Pelodiscus sinensis: one gene and its partners. The protein of the gene in region 1 purifies or fractionates together with the protein of each later gene. This does not show direct contact. Links are inferred from orthologs where the notes say so. Each region holds a gene or a part of one and is shown on either strand. Other genes may lie near its edges.

What was found.
Region 2: the proteins of E3 ubiquitin-protein ligase RNF146-B (region 1) and HLTF purify together in Homo sapiens (affinity purification with mass spectrometry; 4 studies listed by BioGRID and IntAct, with this or other methods). This does not show direct contact. The link is inferred for Pelodiscus sinensis from reciprocal best matches to the Homo sapiens genes RNF146 and HLTF.
Region 3: the proteins of E3 ubiquitin-protein ligase RNF146-B (region 1) and DNA repair protein XRCC1 purify together in Homo sapiens (co-immunoprecipitation; 3 studies listed by BioGRID and IntAct, with this or other methods). This does not show direct contact. The link is inferred for Pelodiscus sinensis from reciprocal best matches to the Homo sapiens genes RNF146 and XRCC1.

The regions. Positions count from the first base shown.
Region 1 is NC_134713.1:90,564,232-90,571,279, forward strand, and holds the start of E3 ubiquitin-protein ligase RNF146-B, read left to right. Parts: upstream 1-4,034; 5' UTR 4,035-4,191; intron 4,192-4,247; exon of another isoform or gene 4,248-4,487; intron 4,488-4,852; exon of another isoform or gene 4,853-5,094; intron 5,095-6,498; exon of another isoform or gene 6,499-7,048. UniProt on the Homo sapiens protein: E3 ubiquitin-protein ligase that specifically binds poly-ADP-ribosylated (PARsylated) proteins and mediates their ubiquitination and subsequent degradation. May regulate many important biological processes, such as cell survival and DNA damage response.
Region 2 is NC_134720.1:25,563,051-25,570,345, forward strand, and holds the start of HLTF (helicase-like transcription factor), read right to left. Parts: upstream 3,005-7,295; 5' UTR 2,889-3,004; coding exon 2,869-2,888; intron 1-2,868. UniProt on the Homo sapiens protein: Has both helicase and E3 ubiquitin ligase activities. Possesses intrinsic ATP-dependent nucleosome-remodeling activity; This activity may be required for transcriptional activation or repression of specific target promoters.
Region 3 is NC_134734.1:124,550-131,740, forward strand, and holds the start of DNA repair protein XRCC1, read left to right. Parts: upstream 1-4,187; 5' UTR 4,188-4,296; coding exon 4,297-4,347; intron 4,348-4,513; coding exon 4,514-4,606; intron 4,607-5,190; coding exon 5,191-5,298; intron 5,299-6,126; coding exon 6,127-6,285; intron 6,286-7,127; coding exon 7,128-7,191. Other genes in the region: phospholipase A2 inhibitor and Ly6/PLAUR domain-containing protein-like, read right to left, coding at 1-108, 952-1,000. UniProt on the Homo sapiens protein: Scaffold protein involved in DNA single-strand break repair by mediating the assembly of DNA break repair protein complexes. Negatively regulates ADP-ribosyltransferase activity of PARP1 during base-excision repair in order to prevent excessive PARP1 activity.

The DNA of each region.
Region 1 (7,048 bases):
ATATTGGCACACTGAAGGATTGGTATCTAAATGAAACAGTGCCATTTTACACATCCTCAATCAGTTTCCAGCTGAGAAGGAACACATGGATTTTAATACAATTTTGTTGGTAAAAGCATAATATGTCTGATTTTTAACTTACATTTAACTTCTTACAGTTTTGTTCACATTCACAATGTGTAAATAAACCAATTTTTGAAGTATATAAGATTTAATGTGAGTTAAAATTTATAAACAAAAAACAAAACCCTCAACAGTTAGGTTGTTGGTGTGTAGAGCCCCCTGCCGTTCATGCTAACCAATATTGTAGCATTGTCTTAAGCAACTGGTAAAAATATTCTCCTTGGGAGCTGAGTAATACCATTAGGCTCTGATTTCTGGAGGGTTGCTGTTTCTAACCCAGCAAAATGTGGAGGGACTGCTCGGAAGGGGAGGTGGACAGTTGGGGAATGAGGCTGCCCACACACACCCTGAAGAGGCAGCTTCAGTTGTCCTAGGATGGGCCTGGCTCTCTGTTCCAGTCTATAGGCTCTTGCCACTTGTGTATTTCCACTGGAGCCGGCTCCTCTAATAAGGGGGGCAAATCATCAAAGCACCTCAAGAAGACAAGGAAGAGGGAGAGAAAAGGGAGAAAGTCACCAGCCTCACAGCAGCAACTGGGGGCATTGGGTCAGATCTTTAGCACAAATGGTGGTTGAAAGCAGGAATGAGAACTTGGGGAGGGGAGCAGTGCAAAGGGCAAGGGTGAAAAGTAAGCTGAGAGGGAGATCATGTGGAAATTGGAGGAATAGGAGAAGTTTTAAAAAGTGGATTTATTGGGGGATGGGGTTTGGAGGGATGGTAAGCTGTGGCAGGAGATGATTTGAGGACATGAAGGGGGGGGGCTTTAGGGAGTTGAGAAAGGGTTTCATCAGGGTGTTCAGCTTCAGCCAAAGGTAAGTTTATTTGGGGATATGGGAGTTGGCATGGCAGGGAGTTGAAGGCTGTGGCAGGAGGAGGTATGTACAGGTATATTTACTTGGGGGCAGAGTAATATGGATGGATTTAAGTGGTAGTTGGGGAGCTAGGTGGGGCATTATTTGCAAGTTGGGTGGGAGGCTGTTGGGGAGAGGTTAAGGGGAAGTGTGGGAGAGAAGTTATTTGGGATCTATGTTAGAAGCAGGTTTGGATGAGGGGGTCTGGAGCTATGAAGAAGGAAGTTTGTGACAGTGTTGGTGGCCACTGGCTGTATCTGGTGACTCTTCTTTGTGGCCCATGCTCTCTCTTATCTTTTGCTTGTCTGCCTTCCTCCCTTACTGACTCCAGCTGTGAGCACCAGGTAGGGATGGACTTGCCACTATACTAGGATTGGGACTTGCTTGCTGGGCACTGACCACACTCAGGATGGATTCTATCTGCAGTACCATGACAAGGTGTCATGGATTCACCTCACCATTGGGCTCCAGGGACTTTCTCTGCTTGTCCTGCTGCTGCATAGCCAAGCAACTCAGCACCAACCTGGCCTTAGCATTACCAGAGATGGGCTTTTTGCTGTGGAGCTGGGCTGCGCATTGTTTGCTTGTCCTCCCCCATAAATATGTCTGTTCTATATGTTGTCTCCTCTTAGACAGTAAGATATTTGGAGCAGGGTCTATCTACTGTACAGGCCTAGCACTATAAAGTATTAATCCAGATCCGTGGTGCTGTCACAATAAAGAGAATAGAAATAAATAGTACGCCAACAACAAAAAAGGATAGCCTCAAAGGTGTATGAAACTGCTCTTTGTGGTATTGTATAAGACCTATTTTACATCTTGTACACAATAAATAAAATTTTCTATTAGGAAAGTTTGTTGATTCACTAGAATAAATCACCTTTCCATTCTCCTTTTCATATCTGACAATATATGGACCTCAACACTTTTATTTCCAGGCCAAGGCTACAGTGTATTATTCTAGGTATCTAGTTTTGATATAGTCTGATATAGCATATAATCTAAGCACAGGAATGCTTGTTTTATAGTGAGGGTTGAGATATAGTTTACATCTCACAGTGAGTCTTAAGGGGAGACCCAGCACCGGCATTAACTGTTATGGCTCCTCCACAGATGCAATGGGACCAGAACTCATTTCCTTCTGTTGCAAAAATAGCACGTTCCTTTTGTAATCTGCACTGCAGGACAGTAGAGTATGACTCATGGCAGGATGCTCGGCCATGGCAGAAGCAGCTAATACAAACACACACACGTTTGTCAAAACTTAAAAAACAAATTATCCTACAGCCAGTTCAGCGGCGTTATGATACAATACTGCCAACAAGTGTGCAAAAATCATGAGCCACACACCCCAGCAATCTTGGCTATGATTTAAAAATAATTAAAAAAAACCAATACATTTTAGTACTTTTTATTTAGTTGTGGGGCCATTAGTGTGCTGTCATGCTGTGTTTTGAAGCTATTCTTTGCAACTATAATGGCTAAAAATTACCTTTTTAATGGAAGTTGAGATTATCACATAATCACTTCAGTCAGGGAACTGGGGCTTTATGAAAGCCAGCAAATACTGTGACACTCACAATCAAATTGTGTTAGGATGCACAGCAGGGCTCAACCCATGTTAGTTAAAGCACTGCTGATTTTCATTGTGCAGTATAATCGTTAATGAGTGTGGTGACACCTACAACACTAACAATTTCAGGCATGTATAAAAAGGGTAGAGAGAAGGTACAGTAAGTTTACCCTGGATGTTGCACTGGTGAGAACATAAGAATGGTTATACTGGATCAGACTAGCTACTCATCTAGCCCCAGTATCCTAGCTTCTAACAGTGGCCAATGCCAGGTTCCCCGAAAGAATGAACCAGTAATCGTCAGGGCTGTGTCTACATTGGCAAGATTTTGCACAAAAGCGGTTGCTTTTACATAAAATCTTGCCACCTGTCTACATTGGCCGCGAGTACTTGCGCAAGAACACTAACGTTCTAATGTATGAAATCAGTGCTTCTTGCGCAACTACTCTTGACGCTCCCGCTCAGGGTTCAGGCAACGTTAATTACTTGTGCAAGAAAGCCCGATGGCTAAAATGGCCAGCAGAGCTTTCTCATGCGAGAGCATCTACACTGGCACAGATGCTTTTGCACAAAGGCACGTGCCAGTGTAGACGCTCTCTTGCGCAAATACTTTACGCAAAAACTTGTGTTAAAAGTATTTGCGCAAACTCCTGCCAGTGTAGACGTAGCCCAAGTGATCCATCCCGTCACACATTCCCAGCTTCTGACAAACAGAAGCTAGTGACAACATCCCTGCCCATCCTGTTTTTTAGCCATTGATGTACCTATCCTCCATGAACCACTACTCTTTTTTGAGGCCTGAAATAGTCTTGGGCTTCACAACATCCTGTAGCAAGGAGTTCCACAGGTGGACTGTGTGTCGTGTAAAAAAAAAATACTTTCTTTTGTTTTAAACTTACTGCCTGCTAATTTAAGACCCATACTGGAACACTGTGTACAATTATGGTGTCCCCCTTTTAAAAAGGAAAAGATTGGAGAGGTGCGCAGAAGAGCCACTAAACAATCTGAGGGCCAGGAAAATCAATGTCTTACAGTGAGACGCCTAAAGAGCTCAATGCTGGGTCAGACCAAAAGGTTCTGGCCTAAAGAGATTAATGTTGGGTCAGCCCGAAAGGGCTCAATGGATTTTAGCCCATCACAAAGACCAGGGTGCACCATAAAATCCCAGCTCCGATCCAAAGAGACGCTCTAGTGCAGCGGCAGGAGCCAGGCGCAGGCAAAAGGAGGGCTCTTTTTTCACAGGGCGGGTGGGGGGCGAGTCACCACTGACGGGAGGTAGGTGCAGCGGCGTCTCCGCCTCGTGCTGCTCAGCGGGAAGATTTGCTTTCGCCAAACGCGGGCGCTGGCTGCAGGGCTGAGGTCGCCGCCCGCGAGGCCCAGCCTGAGCCCCCCCGCTTGACGGCTGGAGAAAGCGAGGGGGGGGGGTGTCGAGTTACCGCCGCTGCAAACCACGCGGGGGCGCTGGGTTTCCGCGGCGCAGGAGCAGCCGGGTCTAGGCTGCGGGGGCGGCCGCTAACGCACGTAACGGCCGCCCCGCAGCAGCCCCCCCCCCAAGCCCTGTGGGCGTTCAGCGGCCGCACAACAGCCGCGGGTGCCTAAGCAACAAGGAGCGCGCGAGTGAACACGCGCCGCAGGAAGGCGGCTGTGAGTATTATGGGCTGGAGAGGAGGTCTCCGCAGACAGGCACCGCGGAAGGAGGGAGGAGCTATTTGGGCGCGCGCCAGTAGCGTCTCGGTATCGACACCCCCTCTCGGGCTTCCCCCGTGGGAGAGTGTCTGACCGCTCCGTTTTGCCCCTCCCTCCACTCTCGTTCCCCCGCCCCTCTGCGCCCTGACGTCGTCGCGTCTCGCTCTCGCGACAGCAGGTGACGGCGGCTGGGGCGGCGGTTCGCTCGCTAGCCCAGCGGCGAAGACACGGAGCAGCGCGAGCCGGGCCCGCGGGTGAGTCCGTGACGCCGCCGCGTTCTAGAGCTCGCCGCTGGGAAGCCAGGGGCTTACGCGCGCGGGGAGGTTCCGCTCATTCTCCCCGCGGCTCCCGCTGGGGCCTGCCCGCCTCGGGGCTGGAGCGGAGGCCGGACTCGCTGTGCGAGGCTCCGGACAAAAGGCCACAGCGCCCCCCCCCCCCCCCCCCCCCCCGGGGCGGTAGCTGCCTGTGGAGTCCCGCCCATCGGGCCAGGGCCCGGAGCCCCCGGCGGAGTGGGGCTGTGTTGTGTGGCAGCTGCGTAACCCCCGGTTACATGACATCGGCTGCCCCTCCCCCCCCCCCCCCCCCCCCCGGCTGGGACTGTGCTTATTTATTCCTTCCCCCGAGCTCAGCCCGCGATAGGGACCAGCCTGACCCGCTGGGGAGGGGCAGCGCCTCGGATCGGGGAAACTTGGCCCGGCTCAACATTTTTGTTTTCTTAAAAATAAACCGGCAAACTTAGCAGATTTGTAACTCATCCAAAGGGTTGGATCGCGCTCGGGGGTGTCCCTTGGGAGGTCGGCAGCCCAAAGTGGGCTGTGATGAAAATAGGCTTCGTAGCGTTTTTGTATGGTTTGCCCAGAGGTCTGTTGCTATGCATATTTTTTATTGACTTAAATGTTCACGGTTGTGGGAAATAATTGATTGTTTGGCCACCTCTTATTGACAGTGGATGTTGTGATTCAAGAAGGTGAAACACAAATTGTCAGCATCACATATCAAAACATACAAACTACCTGTCTTCCAGTCAAGCTTTAATAAGCAGTATTTTTCTTCTGTCTTCATGTAAATTTTCATTTTCATTGATGGACATATTTTTTCTTGGGTTTAGGTGTAAATGAAATTGATGTTTACCAACATTTACTAATATACATATTATATTTCTAAGCTTAAGTATAAGTAATATCAAATATTTGACATTTTATATGAAGTCTTACATTCAAATTTCTTTTAATACCTTCACACATGGTTGTTTTGTTTGACTATTTTGTTCGACATATTTGTAGTGTTTTCCACAGTTTCTTCTGTTGTTGGATATTTTGAAGAGTTATTGGAGATATATTTGCATGTCAATTCTTAGTTAAGGATGTAACAGTATAACTGTTTATTAACTGATAAATATGAGCTTATTGTTACCGTAACAGTTACATGCCAGCTCCCAGCCCCGCTGCCACCGTGTGTTGCTCGTTCAGAGCCTGCAGCGCAGGGTGGCAGCTGGCTTCCTGGGAGTGGGGCCGGGATGTGCTCAGGAGCCACTGTGCTCGGGAACCGCCTTTTAAGAGCACACTGGGAGCCAGCAGTGCATGGTGACAGCCAGCTCCACAGGAGCTGGCATGTAACTGTTACAGTAACAATAAGCTCATGCTTATCAAATACCTGTTTAAACAATTATATTGCACATCCCTAATTTTAATGTTTTAAATGTACAGTATTTTGTATACCCTGTTATCAAATGGTAAATTACATCAGAAATGTTTAAGGTACTTGAGGTCTAAAAAAGTGCTCACACTTTTAGTGATTTTTTTTGGGGGGGAAGGGGAGAGAGGAGGTGGAGGTAACTGACAGTTGGGCCCTTGGATTTCCTTGCAACACTTTGTGGCTACGTCTACACTGGCCACAATTTCCGGAAAAGCCACGCAAATCAGGTAAGTCAGGATAGGGAAATCCGCAGGGGATTTAAATAAACATGTCCGCTGCTTTTTTTCCGGCTTGGGGAAAAGCCGGAAAAAAAGCGTCTAGACTGGCGCGATCCTCCGGAATAAAGCCCTTTTCCGGTGGATCTCTTATTCCTACTTCGAAGTAGGAATAAGAGATCCACCGGAAAAGGGCTTTATTCCGGAGGATCGCGCCAGTCTAGATGCTTTTTTTCCGGCTTTTCCCCAAGCCGGAAAAAAAGCGGCGGACATGTTTATTTAAATCCGCGGGGGATATTTAAATCCCCCGCGGATTTCCCTATCCTGACTTACCTGATTTGCGTGGCTTTTCCGGAAATTGTGGCCAGTGTAGACGTAGCCTGTGTGTTTAAATGGAAGGTGAAGATAGACCAGTGGCCCAGTTTTCTGGTACAATGAATAGATAAATAGCCTTTCCACTGAAATTAATAGACTACTAGGGCTATCGGGTAAATATAATTTTAATCTTAAAAGCAACCTATATTTGTATGATCCAAGAAATTGAAAGCCTGTAGCTCACAATAAAGAGAATTAAATGTGTTAACTCTTTTACTGAATTGTATGATAATTGTCTTATCCTGTAGACTGTAAATTGTAGTTTATTTTATTTACTTGTCTGGTAGAGTACATTCCAGAATATGTAGTAATTGTTAGAAGGAATAAGATACAGAACTTATTTTTGTGCTTCTCAAATTTGATATCTTAAAGGAAATACTGTAGTTTGAAAATGCACACTGAGGCAGCAGTAAAGTGTTGATAGTTGACTGTTTAAAACTAGTCTTTGGAACTACTCTTTAAAATGGATTATTGAGATGGAGCATTTGTCAGATAGTATTGAATTAACAGTGAAACCTGAATATTCATTT
Region 2 (7,295 bases), on another chromosome or scaffold:
TGACTGTGCGCTGTGTAAAGAAGAACTTCCTTTTTTTTGTTTTAAACCTGCTGCCCATTAATTTCATTTTGTGGCCCCTAGTTCTTATATTAAGGGAACAAGTAAATAACTTTTTCTTATTCACTTTCTCCATACCACTCATGATTTTATATACCTCTATCATATCCCCCCCTTAGTCTCCTCTTTTCCAAGCTGAAGAGTCTTAGTCTCTTTAATCTCTCCTCATATGGGACCCGTTCCAAACCCCTAATCATTTTAGTTGCCCTTCTCTGAACCTTTTCTAATTCCAGTATATCTTTTTGGAGATGAGGAGACCACACCTGTACTTAGTATTCAAGATGTGGGCGTACCATGGATTTATAGAAGGGCAATAAGATATTCTTCATCTTATTCTTTATCCCTATTTTAATGATTCCTAACATCCTGTTTGCTTTTTTGACTGCCGCTGCACACTGCATGGATGTCTTCAGAGAACTATCCACAATGACGCCAAGATCTCTTTCAGTATAATCATGCTTGTTTCAATTATTTTGGTTAATTATATTTAAAACTACAGTACAATGGATGAAAAACAGAACACCGAAGGAACTCCTCAAATCCCCTTTAATAGTAACGTAGCTAGTACTGACACTTTATTGATCAACAAATATATACAGCCATTTGCTCAGTGTTACACCATAGGCAACTGAAGAGCAAGTGAGGGCTGGGCACTCTTACTTACAATTTGAATTGACTACTGGCCATTTCCAGAAAGGTCAGTAGCAAACAGTTCATAGACCACACTCTAATAGGAAATTTTCAGTCCACAAATTTAGACCAGCTCTAATCACTGAAGTACGAGAAGCTTTTATAAGGCCATACTGACACCACTCTGGCAATGTAAAGGAGCCTTAACATTTTTTACACCTTGTATATACTTCTGGGGAAATTCACTAAGAATTAGGGATGTAAGCAAACAGTCAACTAACTGATAAGCCTAGGCTTATCGGTTAAGCTAGTCAACTACTCGACAACTCACATTTGTCCGTCCGTCCCCACTGCCTCTTTATAAGAGGCAGCAAGGGGTGGAGGAAGCAGGAGCCATTACAAAAGCCAGGTCATCACAGCACCATCTCCGTGGTGCCACCTGTACTCCCTCCTGTGCTGCTGCCTCTATCAACTGGGCATGTACAGGGGCTGCTCTGGCCAGGAACCTACCCCCTGCTGTGGCTCTGCATTTTAAATGTAGTAAGAGCTGAGCTGCCTGCATGCCTGGCCTTTAGTACATTTCAACTTCAGAGCTGCAGCAGGGGGTAGGTCCCAGTCCTGGACATGGAGCAAGCCACAACTGAGCGGGGCTGCCTTCCCTTATCAACTAATTGAGTGGTCGATAGTATTTTTATTGACTACTCGATTAGCCAATTAACCGCATCTTAACATCACTAAGAACAATAGGAACAATTCACTAAGAAGGCAGGCTGCTACATTTTGCTCTGCCTGAGGAGCCTGCCCCATACCTACCTCCTCAGAAATATCCCTTATAGCTCACAACCCTGCCTTAATTTGGACATGTTGTGGTAACAAAGAATTAACTAATGTAACATGTCTAACTGACGTGAGATACCAACATTTAGAGAGCACTAAAGCCCAACTAAGGAGATACAACAGAGGTCACAGGATTAGTAAGGGAGTATGAAAAAGACAGTCATCTCACAAAAAGTGAGAACTGGCCGTTCTCTCCCCTTCAACACTAACTGATAACTGTTTCCATAACAATTGGTTGGACCTCTATAGACTGGCAACATATGTGGTCTGACATCCCTGTGGATGTTCCCAGGTTGGAGCACTCATAAGGAAAAGCCAGGGCCCATCCTCAGCAACTCCTCCCCTGTCCTCCCAGAGCACCACAAATAGCTCATTTGCAGGGCTCAATCTCAGGGACAAAGGGGGAGAAGCAGGAACTGGGTGATGCTCAATGGAAGAGGCAGGAGTGCCACCCTATGGGCCTCTGCAGCCACCTGGCCTTTTTCCCCCAAGCGCTCCCTCCATTTGCTTGGTCAATGCCAGTCCATCTGCTGCCATTGGAGTGGAACCCCACAGCAAGCAGCAGCAGAGGAGCCAAAATTGACCTCCTCTGGTCTGGCAGATGCCTTGGTTTGTGATCAGTCAGGTCCTTAAAGTAACACATCAAGAAAGTACAAACCCACCGAAGCCTCCCAGTCCAGAGAGCCAAAAGTCTAATCCACTGCTGGTTTCCAGCCCGCAGATGTGAAATTGCGGTAAGCCAGTTAAATAAAATGCTTAACTGATTAAGTGTAATGCTGCAGGGCACACACGAGATGCAGAGGGGCTGGGGCTGCAGCCGGCCTGGGTCCTGTTTGCCCTTCCTAGGGCCAGGGCTGCCAGGATCCTGCCTGTCTCTGTCTGGTGGGGCTAAGACAGGGCTGCCACAGCTGTTGCCCTGCCCTGATTCCTGCCACCCAACCAGTTTAACCAGTTAACTACCCGGTAAACCTAATGCTTACCTGGTAACCATTTACACTCCTGGCACAGCTCCACTATGCACCCCCCCCACACACACACACACCCCTCATGGCACCCAGTCCCACTCCCTCAGCCCCATTTCCCCAGGGTGCCCAGTCCCCCCCTCGCCTCAGCCCCACCTTCACCCCCCCCCCCCAGCACGGCGTCCAGCCTCACCCCCATTGTTCCCCTCCAGGCTCAAGGCACTCAGCCCCACCGGCCCCCGCGGCCCCAGGACGTCCATTCCCACCCCCTCTCTCCCCAGGCCCAAGGCGCCCGGCCCCTCGGCCTAGCCCGCTCTCCCAGCATCCGGCCTCGCTGGCCCATTGCACAAGGCCCGCCCGCTTTGCCCCCACGGGACCTCACCGCATGTCCATCCAAGCCATGGCGCTGCTGGGGGCCGCCGCACGGCTAAGGGCACAGAACAGATCCTGCAGCGTCCTCCCCCCACAGCCCGCCGTCAGTGCAGCGCTACCAGCCTGATTGACAACAACAACACCAATCTCACCCCGCATGTCACAGGCCCCAGCCAATGAGAACAGGGCTGTGGCAGAGGGGCGGGACTTTCTCCGTGAGTTCTCTGTGCGACCGAAAAGAGCCGCCAAGCCTTCGAGCGGCTGCTTCCTGTGTCCCACCGTCTCCCTTCCACCGCCGCGGCGGCCAGGAGGCTGCACCCACAGCCTGGTTGCCAATTAATTCCCCTTGCCCGACCCCCCGCTACTGACACCTCAGCCCGCGGTGGCCTTCGGGCTCCCTGCACAGCGGGCATAGAAGAGGTCACCTGGAGAAGCAGTGGAGTCTCTGTCACTTGCAGTCTTTAAATCTGGACAGGATGGCTTTCTAAAAGGTCTGCCCCATCGCTGAAACTCAAACAAGTTATGGGTTTGATGCAGAAATTACTGCAAGAGATTGGCCTGCGTAATGCAGGCCAGACTAGATTATAATAATGCCCCCTTCTAGATTTAAAGTCTATTCATTGCATGTCATCACATCTTGATATCACTGGATCAATTTGTGGCATTAGTACCTAACAACTCAATGGTGATTGACTTTTCAAGCCCAGGGCTGCCAGGTGTCCGATTTTCAACTGGAACACTCAGTTGAAAAAGAATTTGGAAGGTTCCAGTCAGCACTGCCAACCTGGCTGTTAAAAGTTCGGTCAGCAGTGCTGCAGAGCGAAGGCGGTTCCTACCTGACCTGGCTCTGTGCTGCACCCTGCAAGCAGGCAGCAGGGGTATGGGACCAGTGCTCAGGGAAGGTGCAGCATGTGGAGCCTTGTGGGTTCCCCCACCTAGGAGCCAAACCTGCTAGCTGTTTACAGGCACAGTGTGATGCAGGATAGTAGGCACGAATGGGTCTGCCACTTAGCATACATGCCCACCCACCGCCCTGCCTCTACTACCACCAGACCATGAGGGCTTGCCCATCTCCACTCAGTGCTCCAGGGCTATATCTACACTGGTGGGTTCTTGTGCAAGAACTCTTGCGCAAGAACACGTCCACACGGCCATGTGCTTTTGCACAAGAGCATCCATGGCAGTGTGGATGCTCTCTTGCGCAAGAAAGCTCTAATGGCCATTTTAGCCATAGGGCTTTCTTGTGCAAGGAGCTCCTGCTGCACATCCACACTGCCATCTTTTGCAAGAGCTCTTGCACAAGAGGGCTTACACTTGTTAGAAAAGAGCGTAGCTCTTGTACAAGAAGCCCTGTCTTCCGACACCGTACTGTAAATCTTCTTGCACAAGAGCAGATGGGCAGTGTGGACGCTTTGTGGGTTCTTGCGCAAGAACGGCCATTCTTATGCAATAATCCACCAGTGTAGACGACAGCCCAGGAGATTAGCCTGCTCCTCCACCTGGCTCTCCCAGCAAGCCTCTGTGCCCTGACCCAGCTTCCCTGCTGGGAGCTCCAGGCAGCGAAGCAGGGCAAGCCCTGGCAATCCATCCATGCTGGGTGGCATAGCAGGGCAAGCCCCTGTGCTCTGACTGTTCCATGCTCAGAGTGCCGGGCAACAGAGCAGGGCAAGCCCCAGAGTTCCAACTCCACTGCTAGCTGGAAGTGCCAGGTGGGCGGATGGGACATACCCATGCCCTGAGTGAGGGGGGAGCAAATGGGAGGATCGCACATTTATATGGGGGCTCCCATTTTTAAGAGGGCCCCTGGTCAGAGCATCTATCCCTTCCCCTCTTCCAAGGCTACTTGAGGGAGGAGGAGAGGCAGCTGCATCATTGCTACTCCCCAGTCATTGCCCACCCACCCAAAGTCTGAGCCCCCCCATCTGGTCTATTCTGGCTAAGACGTTGCTGTAGTGCCAGGACAGGTAGAGTCTAGCCTGCCTTAGCTCCACAGTACCACCAACTGGACTTTCAACAACCTAGTTGGTGGTGCTGACTAAAACCACCAGGATCCCTTTTCAACTCAGTGTTTCAGTTTAAAACCAGTCATCTGGTCACCCTATCCACAGAGCCTCACCCCCAGATAGAACCCTCATGCCCCGCAGTGCCTCACCCCCTTACCCCAGCTCTGAGCCCACCAGCCAGGAGTGAGAGGCATGCAAAGAATGCAAGCACTTTCCCCGCACTCCCTGAGACACCTGGGGAACGGGATCAAAAACAAGCCGCATCACAGAGTGCATGGCTGTTGTCCTCTCCCCTCCCCACACTCCATCCTGCCACAATTCCACCCTTGTGAGGCAACTGCAAAACCCAGTGGAGCTGCTTCTAGCCCTCAGTGCTTTGGAGTTGCAGCTTCAGCCCGGGCAGGGGCCTTGCAGAGCCCAACTAGGGCACTGCAGGGCAGGGCGTGCTTGGGCTTCGCAGGTGCACTTTGTGTGTTGCCGCTTTCTCTCCCCTTGCCCTACCTGCCCTGGTGTGGGAACAGCAGCACAGTGACACGCTGTCCAGAAGCTTTCCTCACAAGGGGACGCAAAGCTAGGTAAGAGTTCCTCCTCATGCCCAGACCCCCCACACCTCAATCCCATCACTCAGTCCCCTCCCCAACCAAAACCCTGCACCCCCAGCTTGTGCTGACACCCTCCCTCCCAGCAATCTTGACTCCTGTGCCCGGAGCTCTGCACTCTGCACAACACTGCTGCCAGGGACTGTCCCCAGCAGCTCCACTGCATCCCAGGACTCCTGCGCACTGCCATTGGCTCCATTTTGCAGTTTGCAGCCAACGGGAGCCCTAGGAAGCAGTGTGGGCTGGGCTGCTGCTTCCCGCAGCTCACCTGGGCTCAAAACAGCGAAATGGAGCCAATAGGAACAGCGAGGCTCCATGGCCACAGCGCCAGTAAATAAACAAACCGGCGAGGGCAGTTAATAGGTTTCTCAAAGTGGTTTCGTGGACCACTTTGAGAAAACATTGAGCTAGAGGGGAGGCTGTTACAGATATGATTTTGACAAAAAGGGAAGAATTGTTTGAGAATCTGAATGTAGGAAGTACCTTGGGTGAAAGTGATCATCAAATGATGAATTCATGATTATAAGAAACTAGAAGATTTCAGGCATTGCTCGGGTCCATAGCAGCTTGGAGTCAGGTGAGAAGCACTTCTCCATGGTTGCTGCAGCTCCAGGAGGCATAGCCAGGGAAGGGGTTCATGTCCCCTGGCTGGGGCAGGTCCAGATTTGTCTGTTCACTACACTCCCCAGATTGAGGAATGGAGCAAACTGTGTATTTTCCCCTCACTCCCTGATAGAAGAGGAACAGCCAGCATGTTCCCATGCAAATGGGGGGTGGAGCTGCAGCTCCCCCCACCCTCGCTAAAGGGTACCTGAGGGATGGGAGGCCCGGGCCTAGGACAGTCCTGGCCGTGGGACACACCCCAACCAGCTCCTTTCATCAGCCTGGTGATTTCTATATTGTTGTATGTATCCCTTTTTGCATGGCGGGGGGGAAGGGGAGGAGGGAGCTTCAGCCTGCCCCATCCCAGTGCAAAACCAAACCTTTATCTTGCTTTAAGTTATGATTCACTTTCTTTTATTCCAAATTTGGTGGTCCTATCTCTTACCATTTAGGAGGAGTTCTTGAACAAACAGCTGGACAGACTTACTCACAAGTTCTCAAATATATAGTAGATGATAGGGAAAACAGGAGAATAAAAATAGTGGAAATCATGCTTCACCAATCTTTTAGAAGTCTTTGAGGGGCTCAACAAGCGAACAAAGAAGATCCAGTTGATACTGTGTACTTGGACTTTCTGAAAGCCTTTCACTAGGTCCCACACCAAAGCCTCTTGAGCAAAGTAAATACTCATGGATTACGAGATGAGAGTCTAGTGATGGGTTAAAAGGAAGCAAAGGTTAGGAAGAAATGGTCAGTTTTCAAAACAGAGAGAGGTGAATTTCTGGGTCCCTCACAGATATGTACTATGACCTATTCTGTTCAGAATATCCATAAGTGATCTGGAAAAGGCGATGGACAAGAGGTGCCAACATTTGCAAACAATACAAAATTATTCAAGACAGTTAAGATCAAAACTGACTACAAAGAAGTATAAAGGAATTTCACAAAAGTGAGAATTGGGTGACAAAATGTCAGATGAAATTCAACATTGGTAAGTGCAAAGTAACGCACGTTGGAAGATATAATGCCAACTATAAATACAAAAGCGATGAGGAGTCCTGTGGCACCTTATAGACTAACTGAAGTGTAGGAGCATAAGCTTTCGTGGGCAAAGACCCACTTCGTCAGATGCATGTAGTGGAAATTTCCAGAGGCAGGAATAAATATGCAGGCCAGGATCAGGCTGGAGATGACCAGGTGGATCCAATCAAGGAGGATGAGGCCCACTTCTA
Region 3 (7,191 bases), on another chromosome or scaffold:
TCTCGGAGGTCAGGATGAGGCAGGAGGTGTGGGAGGGCTCGCAGTCCTGCGGCTCTCCGGAGCACGCCTTGTCAGCGCTGGTGCAGCGTTCGCACTGAAGGCAGCATCCTGGGGAGGGAGGGGGTTGGGGGGGTAACCTGTAGGGTCGCCAACTTCTCCCCCCCCCCCCCAGATCATTCCAGTGCGGCAGCCTGGCCTGGTCTCCCGCAGCGCTCCTTCCAGGCACTAGCAGAGCCTGGCTTGCAGCAGCTGTTCTGGGAGCCAGGACTCCTGGGTTCCTTGGTTAGGGAGTGGAGTCTAATGGTTAGAGCAGGAGGGTGAGTGAAATGGAGCTGCCAGAAGGCCTGGGTTCTCTCCCTGGCTCTATGGGGGCAATGGGGGGGGTAGTGGTTAGAGAGGGAGCTCTGGGGAGTCAGCGGGGGGCAGTGGTTAGAGCAGGGCCAGTGCCGAGGGCAGCGGGGGGTAGTGGTTAGAGAGGGAGCTCTGGGGAGTCAGCGGGGGGCAGTGGTTAGAGCAGGGGCAGTGCCGAGGGCAGCGGGGGCAGTGGTTAGAGCAGGGGCAGTGCCGAGGGCAGCGGGGGCAGTGGTTAGAGCAGGGGCAGTGCCGAGGGCAGCAGGGGCAGTGGTTAGAGCAGGGGCAGTGCCGAGGGCAGCGGGGGCAGTGGTTAGAGCAGGGGCAGTGCTGAGGGCAGTGAGGGGCAGTGGTTAGAGCAGGGGCAGTGCCGAGGGCAGCGGGGGCAGTGGTTAGAGCAGGGGCAGTGCCAAGGGCAGCGGGGGCAGTGCCGAGGGCAGCGGGGGCAGTGCCGAGGGCAGTGAGGGGTAGTGGTTAGAGCTGGGGCAGCGGGGGGCAGTGGTGAGCGTGGGGGCAGCCCCTGGGGCAGCGGGGGGCAGTGGTTAGAGGGAGGGCAGCCCCAAGGGTGGGGGCGGTGGTTGGCGCCAGACTCCCACTCACCGGTGGCCAGCAGCGCCGCGAGCAGGCAGAGGGCGAGGCGGGCGGCCATGGTGCCGAGCCGAGCGCCGGGCAGGAGGGCAGCTGACCGTTGGATGCAGCCAGCCCTGCATCCGTGGGGATTTATAGCTGCGGGGCCTGGGAACAGCCAGTTCCTGGAGGGATCCGGCTGCGGGGCCATCAATTACCTGGCCTGGCCCTCTCACAGGTGGCCACGTCTGCCTTTCCTGCCAGCCGGACCCGCCTGGGGACGTGGCACCACAGCCCAGGGCCGCCCCTGCCAGGCCGGGGGGATCTGGGGCGGGGAGAGGCCGGGGCTGGGACATGGGGCGCCTGAGAGCATCCTCATCCCCCGTTGCCCCAGCCCAGACCCCCCCCACGGGCCTTCTGCCCCTAGCGCAGGGTTCCCGGAGGGGGGAGCCCAGCAGGGACACGGCCGGCCGGTGCCCAATGTGGGCAGGGTCTGAGCTCTAGGGGGGACACAGCCCCAATGCCAGGGAGACGGGCTCCGAGCACCCCACACGCTCAACAGCCACCAGCAAGATTCCCACGCTGGAGCACGGGCTGCCGGCCGGCTGGTCCGCAAACCCCGGGCGTGCGAGGCGCTGCCACGGGCACAGACAGGCTCCTGCAGGCCGGGCCAGAGCCCCCGGAGCCGGGTTAGGGGGAAACTCCCTCCGAAGAGGCTCTGGGGCACCTACCCCCACCCCAGGCTGGGCCCAGAATGGCGCGGTCCCAGGGCAGTAAGGAGCCCTGAGAGGCCACACGATGCTGCTTGTATCACTGCCCAAAGGAGGGGTCCACTCTGGGTGGGGACTGGGGCCTAGTGGTTAGAGCGAGAGGCGGTGGGGGCCAGGACTCCTGCGTTCTAGCCCCAGATCCTGGAGAGCAGTGGTGTTGAGCGGTGAGAGGGGGCAGGCAGGGAACCAGGACTCCTGGGTTCTTACCCCACATCTGGGAAAGCAGTGGGGTCTAGTGGTTAGAGGGGCTGGCGGGGCGCCCAGGTTTCTGTCCCAGCCCTGGGAGGCCAGCAGGGGTCAGTGGTTGGAACAGGCTGGCCAGCTGTCAAACAATGGCCTTTTGTTTCCCGCACTGATTTATTGGGGACTGGCTGCAGGGAAGGAACCAGAATTGCCCCCACCCAGGAGTGGCAGGAGGGGGGTTCACGGCCCCACATGGGGGAACCTCCTGGGGGGCTGGAGCACAGACCCAGCCGCAAGGAGGGCGCAGTGTTGGGGACCAAAGGGGGGGTCTGGAGCAATGGGCACCTTGGGACCACCCCACTCCCGGGTGATGCTGGTGTCAGGGTGGGGGGCAGGTGGCCTCATGTGAGTGTGAGGGGGCCCGGCCAGCTGTCTGGTGGGACGGAGAGCAGCCTCTTGGGGGTCTGGCCCTGGGCCCGGAGGGGATCAGCCAAACCTCTCTGGCCCCCGCGTCTGCGCTGTGGCTGATCCCTGCCCCCAGGGCAGGGGGGCAGATGGTAAGTGGTAGCTGCCGCAGGCGGCTCTAGGTGACACGGGGAGCTGGCCGGGCTGGGGACAGCGGCGGGGGCTGGAGAACCCCCCCCGCCAGCCTCCCGCCCTGCCCAAGTGCAGCGAATGCCCCAGCTCGGCACGACATCTTCTCCCAGGCCCGGTGGGTCTCGGCCCTGGGGCAGCTCAAGCCAGGGCCCCCCTGGCTGGCATTTCAGCACGGGGGGGGGGGCAGTTCAGCATGGGGGGCATCTGCTGGAGGCCCTAGGAACCGAGTGTGGGGCAGGGATTGTTACAGACTATGGTGGGCTCAGCCCAGGGCCGGGAACCCTGTCCCACGCCCCGCGGGGGCTGGGACTCCAGGGTTGGATCTGTGGGGAGTGGGGGCTAATGGTTAGAGGGGACCCGGGAGCCAGGACTCCTGGGTTCTCTCCCAGCTCTGATCCCTGGCGGAGGCCCGGGGCCCAGGGTGCTGAGGGAGGCCTGGCTGGGCTGGCTGGGGGCCGGCCTGTGCAGCACAGAGAGTTTCTGGCCCAGGCCCCAGAGAGGCCCGGGACAGGCAGGCAGAACGGCAGCAAAGGCTGAAGCTGGAGTGACAGCCCCGGGCCCCCCTCGCGGGCTCTCCCGGGCTCTGATGCCTGGCTGGAGGGGCAGGCCTGGGTGCTAATTAGGGTGACCCTTTTTAAAGGGACAGCGCCATATTTAAGCCCTCCCAGGGGAGTCCCAATTTTTTCTTAAAAATGGATGCAGCTCCCGTCCCTCCTGCATGGTGCCGAAAGGGCTCCTGCTGGCCTCCTGGTATGACCCTGCCCCTGCCTGCCCCCCACCCGCTGCCTCAAGAAGGCGCAGCACTTGGTACCAGGAGAGGCGGGTCCATCCTGGCATCCCAGCCAGGCATGGGGGGTGCAGAACACTGGGCAGGGTGGGTTGGGTCAGGCTGATTGGCCACACTCACCCCTGTGCGAGAGAATGTGGGAAAGTGTGGGTGTGCCCTGTCCCCTTGCAAGAGAGTGTATAGGAATGAGTGTGTCCCCTGTCCCTATGTGAGAGAGTGTATAGGAATGTGTGTGCCCTTTCCCTGTGCAGGAGAGTGTGCAGGAATGTGTGCGCCCTGTCCCCGTGCGAGAGTGTGCACAGGTGTGAGCGTGTCCCCGTGCAGGAGAGTGTGCAGGAATGTGTGCGCCCTGTCCCCGTGCGAGAGTGTGCACAGGTGTGAGTGTGTCCCCGTGCAGGAGAGTGTGCAGGAATGTGTGCGCCCTGTCCCCGTGCGAGAGTGTGCACAGGTGTGAGTGTGTCCCCGTGCAGGAGAGTGTGCAGGAATGTGTGCGCCCTGTCCCCGTGCGAGTGTGCACAGGTGTGAGCGTGTCCCCTGTCCTTGTGCAAACCTGGCAGCCAAGAGGGTGACTACAGGCCCCAGCTGGTAGGGTTCTGGTGAGCAGGGGCTCGGTGACCGAGCTGTGATTTGCACGTGTGCACGGTTGTGGTGAGCTGTTGGTGAGCTCGCGTGCGCACGAAGCGCGGCACCAGCGATCGCCCCGAGCCCCGGCAGAGAGGAAGGGGGCACGTGCTCCATGACGTCATGACGGCCTTAGAGGCGACTTTCCTTCTGTGCCGCCAGGGGGGGCAGCACCGGTGGCAAGGCGCATGCGCCGCGATCGAGCGGGGAACGCGGGAAAGAGGCGCGAAGGGGCCACCGGCGCGCGCCGCTTCAGGCGACGCCGGGCGCTGCGCATGCGCATAGCCTCTCGCTGCGCAGCGGCGCCTGCGCAGAGCGCTCGGAGGACCGGGCGCACACAGAGCCGGAGGCGCAGAGCGGTTCTGCTTCCGGCGGGCGGCGGAGTTTTGCTCCCGGGTCGGGGCGGCGCGGAGCGCGGCGATGCCGGAGATCGGGATCCGTCATGTGGTGTCCGCGAGCAGCGCCGACCCGGTGCGGGGCAGACCATTCCGGGGGGGGGGCTGGGAGAGACCATTAGGGAGTGGGGGGGTCCCGGGGAGGCGGGAGGGGCATTCCCCGTGGAGCGCGGGGGAGCAGGGCGGGAGAGTCCATTCCGCGCGGGGGTGCGCGGCCCCCTGACAGTCTCCCCCCCCCCCAGACTCACTGCGCCGAGAACCTGCTCAAGGGCGACACCTACCGCAAGTGGCGGGCGGCGCAGCCCGGCGAGAAGCAGCTGTCAGTCATCCTGCAGGTGGGGGCGGGGCGCCCGGACCCCTGGGCTCTGGGGGGGGGGAGGGGCGGGGAGCCCGGACCCCTGGGCTCTGGGGGGGGGGGAGGGGCGGGGAGCCCGGACCCCTGGGCTCTGGGGGGGGGGAGGGGCGGGGAGCCCGGACCCCTGGGCTCTGGGGGGGGGAGGGGCGGGGAGCCCGGACCCCTGGGCTCTGGGGGGGGGGAGGGGCGGGGAGCCCGGACCCCTGGGCTCTGGGGGGGGGAGGGGCGGGGAGCCCGGACCCCTGGGCTCTGGGGGGGGGAGCCCGGACCCCTGGGCTCTGGAGGGGGGTGGGGGGGGGAGCCCGGACCCCTGGGCTCTGGGGGGGGGGTGGGGGGGGGGAGCCCGGACCCCTGGGCTCTGGGGGGGGGAGGGGCGGGGAGCCCGGACCCCTGGGCTCTGGGGGGGGGAGGGGCGGGGAGCCCGGACCCCTTGGGCTCTGGGGGGGGGGAGGAGCGGGGAGCCCGGACCCCTGGGCTCTGGGGGGGGGAGGGGCGGGGAGCCCGGACCCCTGGGCTCTGGGGGGGGCTCGTCCCCGGCCGTGACTGTCCCCTCCCCGGCGGCAGTTCGAGAAGGAGGAGCGGATCCACAGCATCGACGTGGGCAACGAGGGCTCGGCCTTCGTGGAGGTGCTGGCCGGCAGCTCCGCCTCGCCCAGCGAGCAGGACTACGAGGTGAGAGGAGGGAGCCGCCCGTGCTGGGCTCCGGGCGCCCCCAGGCCTGGGTGGGGGGCGGGAGGGCCGAGGGTGGATCGGGTTCAGCGACCCCTGGGGGGTTGGGTCAGGTCCATCGGCCACTCTCATCCGTCTGTGAAAGAATGCGGGAAAGTGTGTGTGTCCCCTGTCCCCGTGCGAGACAATGTGCAGGAATGTGTGTGTCTCCTGTCCCCGTGCGAGACAATGTGCAGGAATGTGTGTGTCTCCTGTCCCCGTGCGAGACAATGTGCAGGAATGTGTGTGTCTCCTGTCCCCGTGCGAGACAATGTGCAGGAATGTGTGTGTCTCCTGTCCCCGTGCGAGACAATGTGCAGGAATGTGTGTGTCTCCTGTCCCCGTGCGAGACAATGTGCAGGAATGTGTGTGTCTCCTGTCCCCGTGCGAGACAATGTGCAGGAATGTGTGTGTCTCCTGTCCCCGTGCGAGACAATGTGCAGGAATGTGTGTCCCCTGTCCCCGTGCGAGACAATGTGCAGGAATGTGTGTGTCCCCTGTCCCCGTGCGAGACAATGTGCAGGAATGTGTGTCCCCTGTCCCCGTGCGAGACAATGTGCAGGAATGTGTGTCCCCTGTCCCCGTGCGAGACAATGTGCAGGAACGTGTGTGTCTCCTGTCTCCGTGAAGGAGAGTGTGTAGGGATGAGTGTGCCCTGTCCCCGTGCCAGAGAGTGTGCGGGAATGTTCCCAGAGGTCTTGGTCCCTTTGGACTGGGGTGGTGACGGGATTTGGGGCGGGGGACACCGGAGGGTTAGGGAGCCTTCTCTACACCAGGGTCCCTCCTCCCCAGGTGCTGCTGGTCACCTCGTCCTTCATGTCGCCCTCGGAGAGCAAGGCCGGCACCAACCTCAACCGGGTCCGGATGTTTGGCCCAGACAAGCTGGTGAAGGCCGCGGCTGAGAAGAAATGGGACCGAGTGAAAATTGTCTGCACTCAGCCCTACACCAAGGTGGGGCCCCTCGCACGCTGGCCAGGGTGGAAGGGATTCCGCGGGGGTGAGCCAAAGGGGCAGTGCGGATCAGTGGCCATTTTCACTACACCCTGCTGAGGTGGGGCAGGGGTGACGTGCTCCAGGGACAGTCCGGACTGGGGAGTAGCTGTGTCGCTGGGACACTCGAACCCGACTGCCTCTGGGTCCAAAGAAAAATTATCAGAGAGAAAGACACAAGCCAGACCTTCCTTTACCATGCTCAGTGACTGGAGAGCAAGGAGGGCTTTTCTCTTTCGCAGGCTGAATTTCCTTTCAAGCTGGGACTCTCCCCTTTGGTTCAATCCATCCAGCGTTCACTGATAACATGAAATGGGAGAGGTGAGGTAGAAGCCCCTGGTATCCTTCTCCCCCATTGCCTCTCATCTTATGTACATGCGGCTTGAACTCTCTCTTGTATACAATGAACATTTCTTATTCACGCATTTCCCCTGTTGGAGACTGGCTGCCAGAGCACGTAATGCCTGGTGGGGTATTGAGCTGGTCTCTGTCTACCCAGGAGGTAGTCTGGGGGTATTCCCCACAGTAACTTCAGAGTAGAAGGTTATAGCTTTATACACAGAGTTGTTCCACATTTTAACAGGACAATGATGTTCTGCAGATTATGAGTTTTCACATGATACTTCCCGAGGCAGACTTTGTACCAAATGTATGATAACAGTGTGAAAGTGGACACAGTGGGTAAGTGGAGGAAGGATGAGGTCTAGTGGTTAGACCGGGGACAGGGGCTGTGAGCCAGGACTTCTGGATTCTCTCTCCAGCTCTGCCAGTGAGTCACTTTCTTTCTGGCTGATCTCCTGTAGACCTTGGCTTATGGGCTGTCCTTCGTGAAGTTCCACTCGCCGCCCGAAAACAATGAAACCCCAT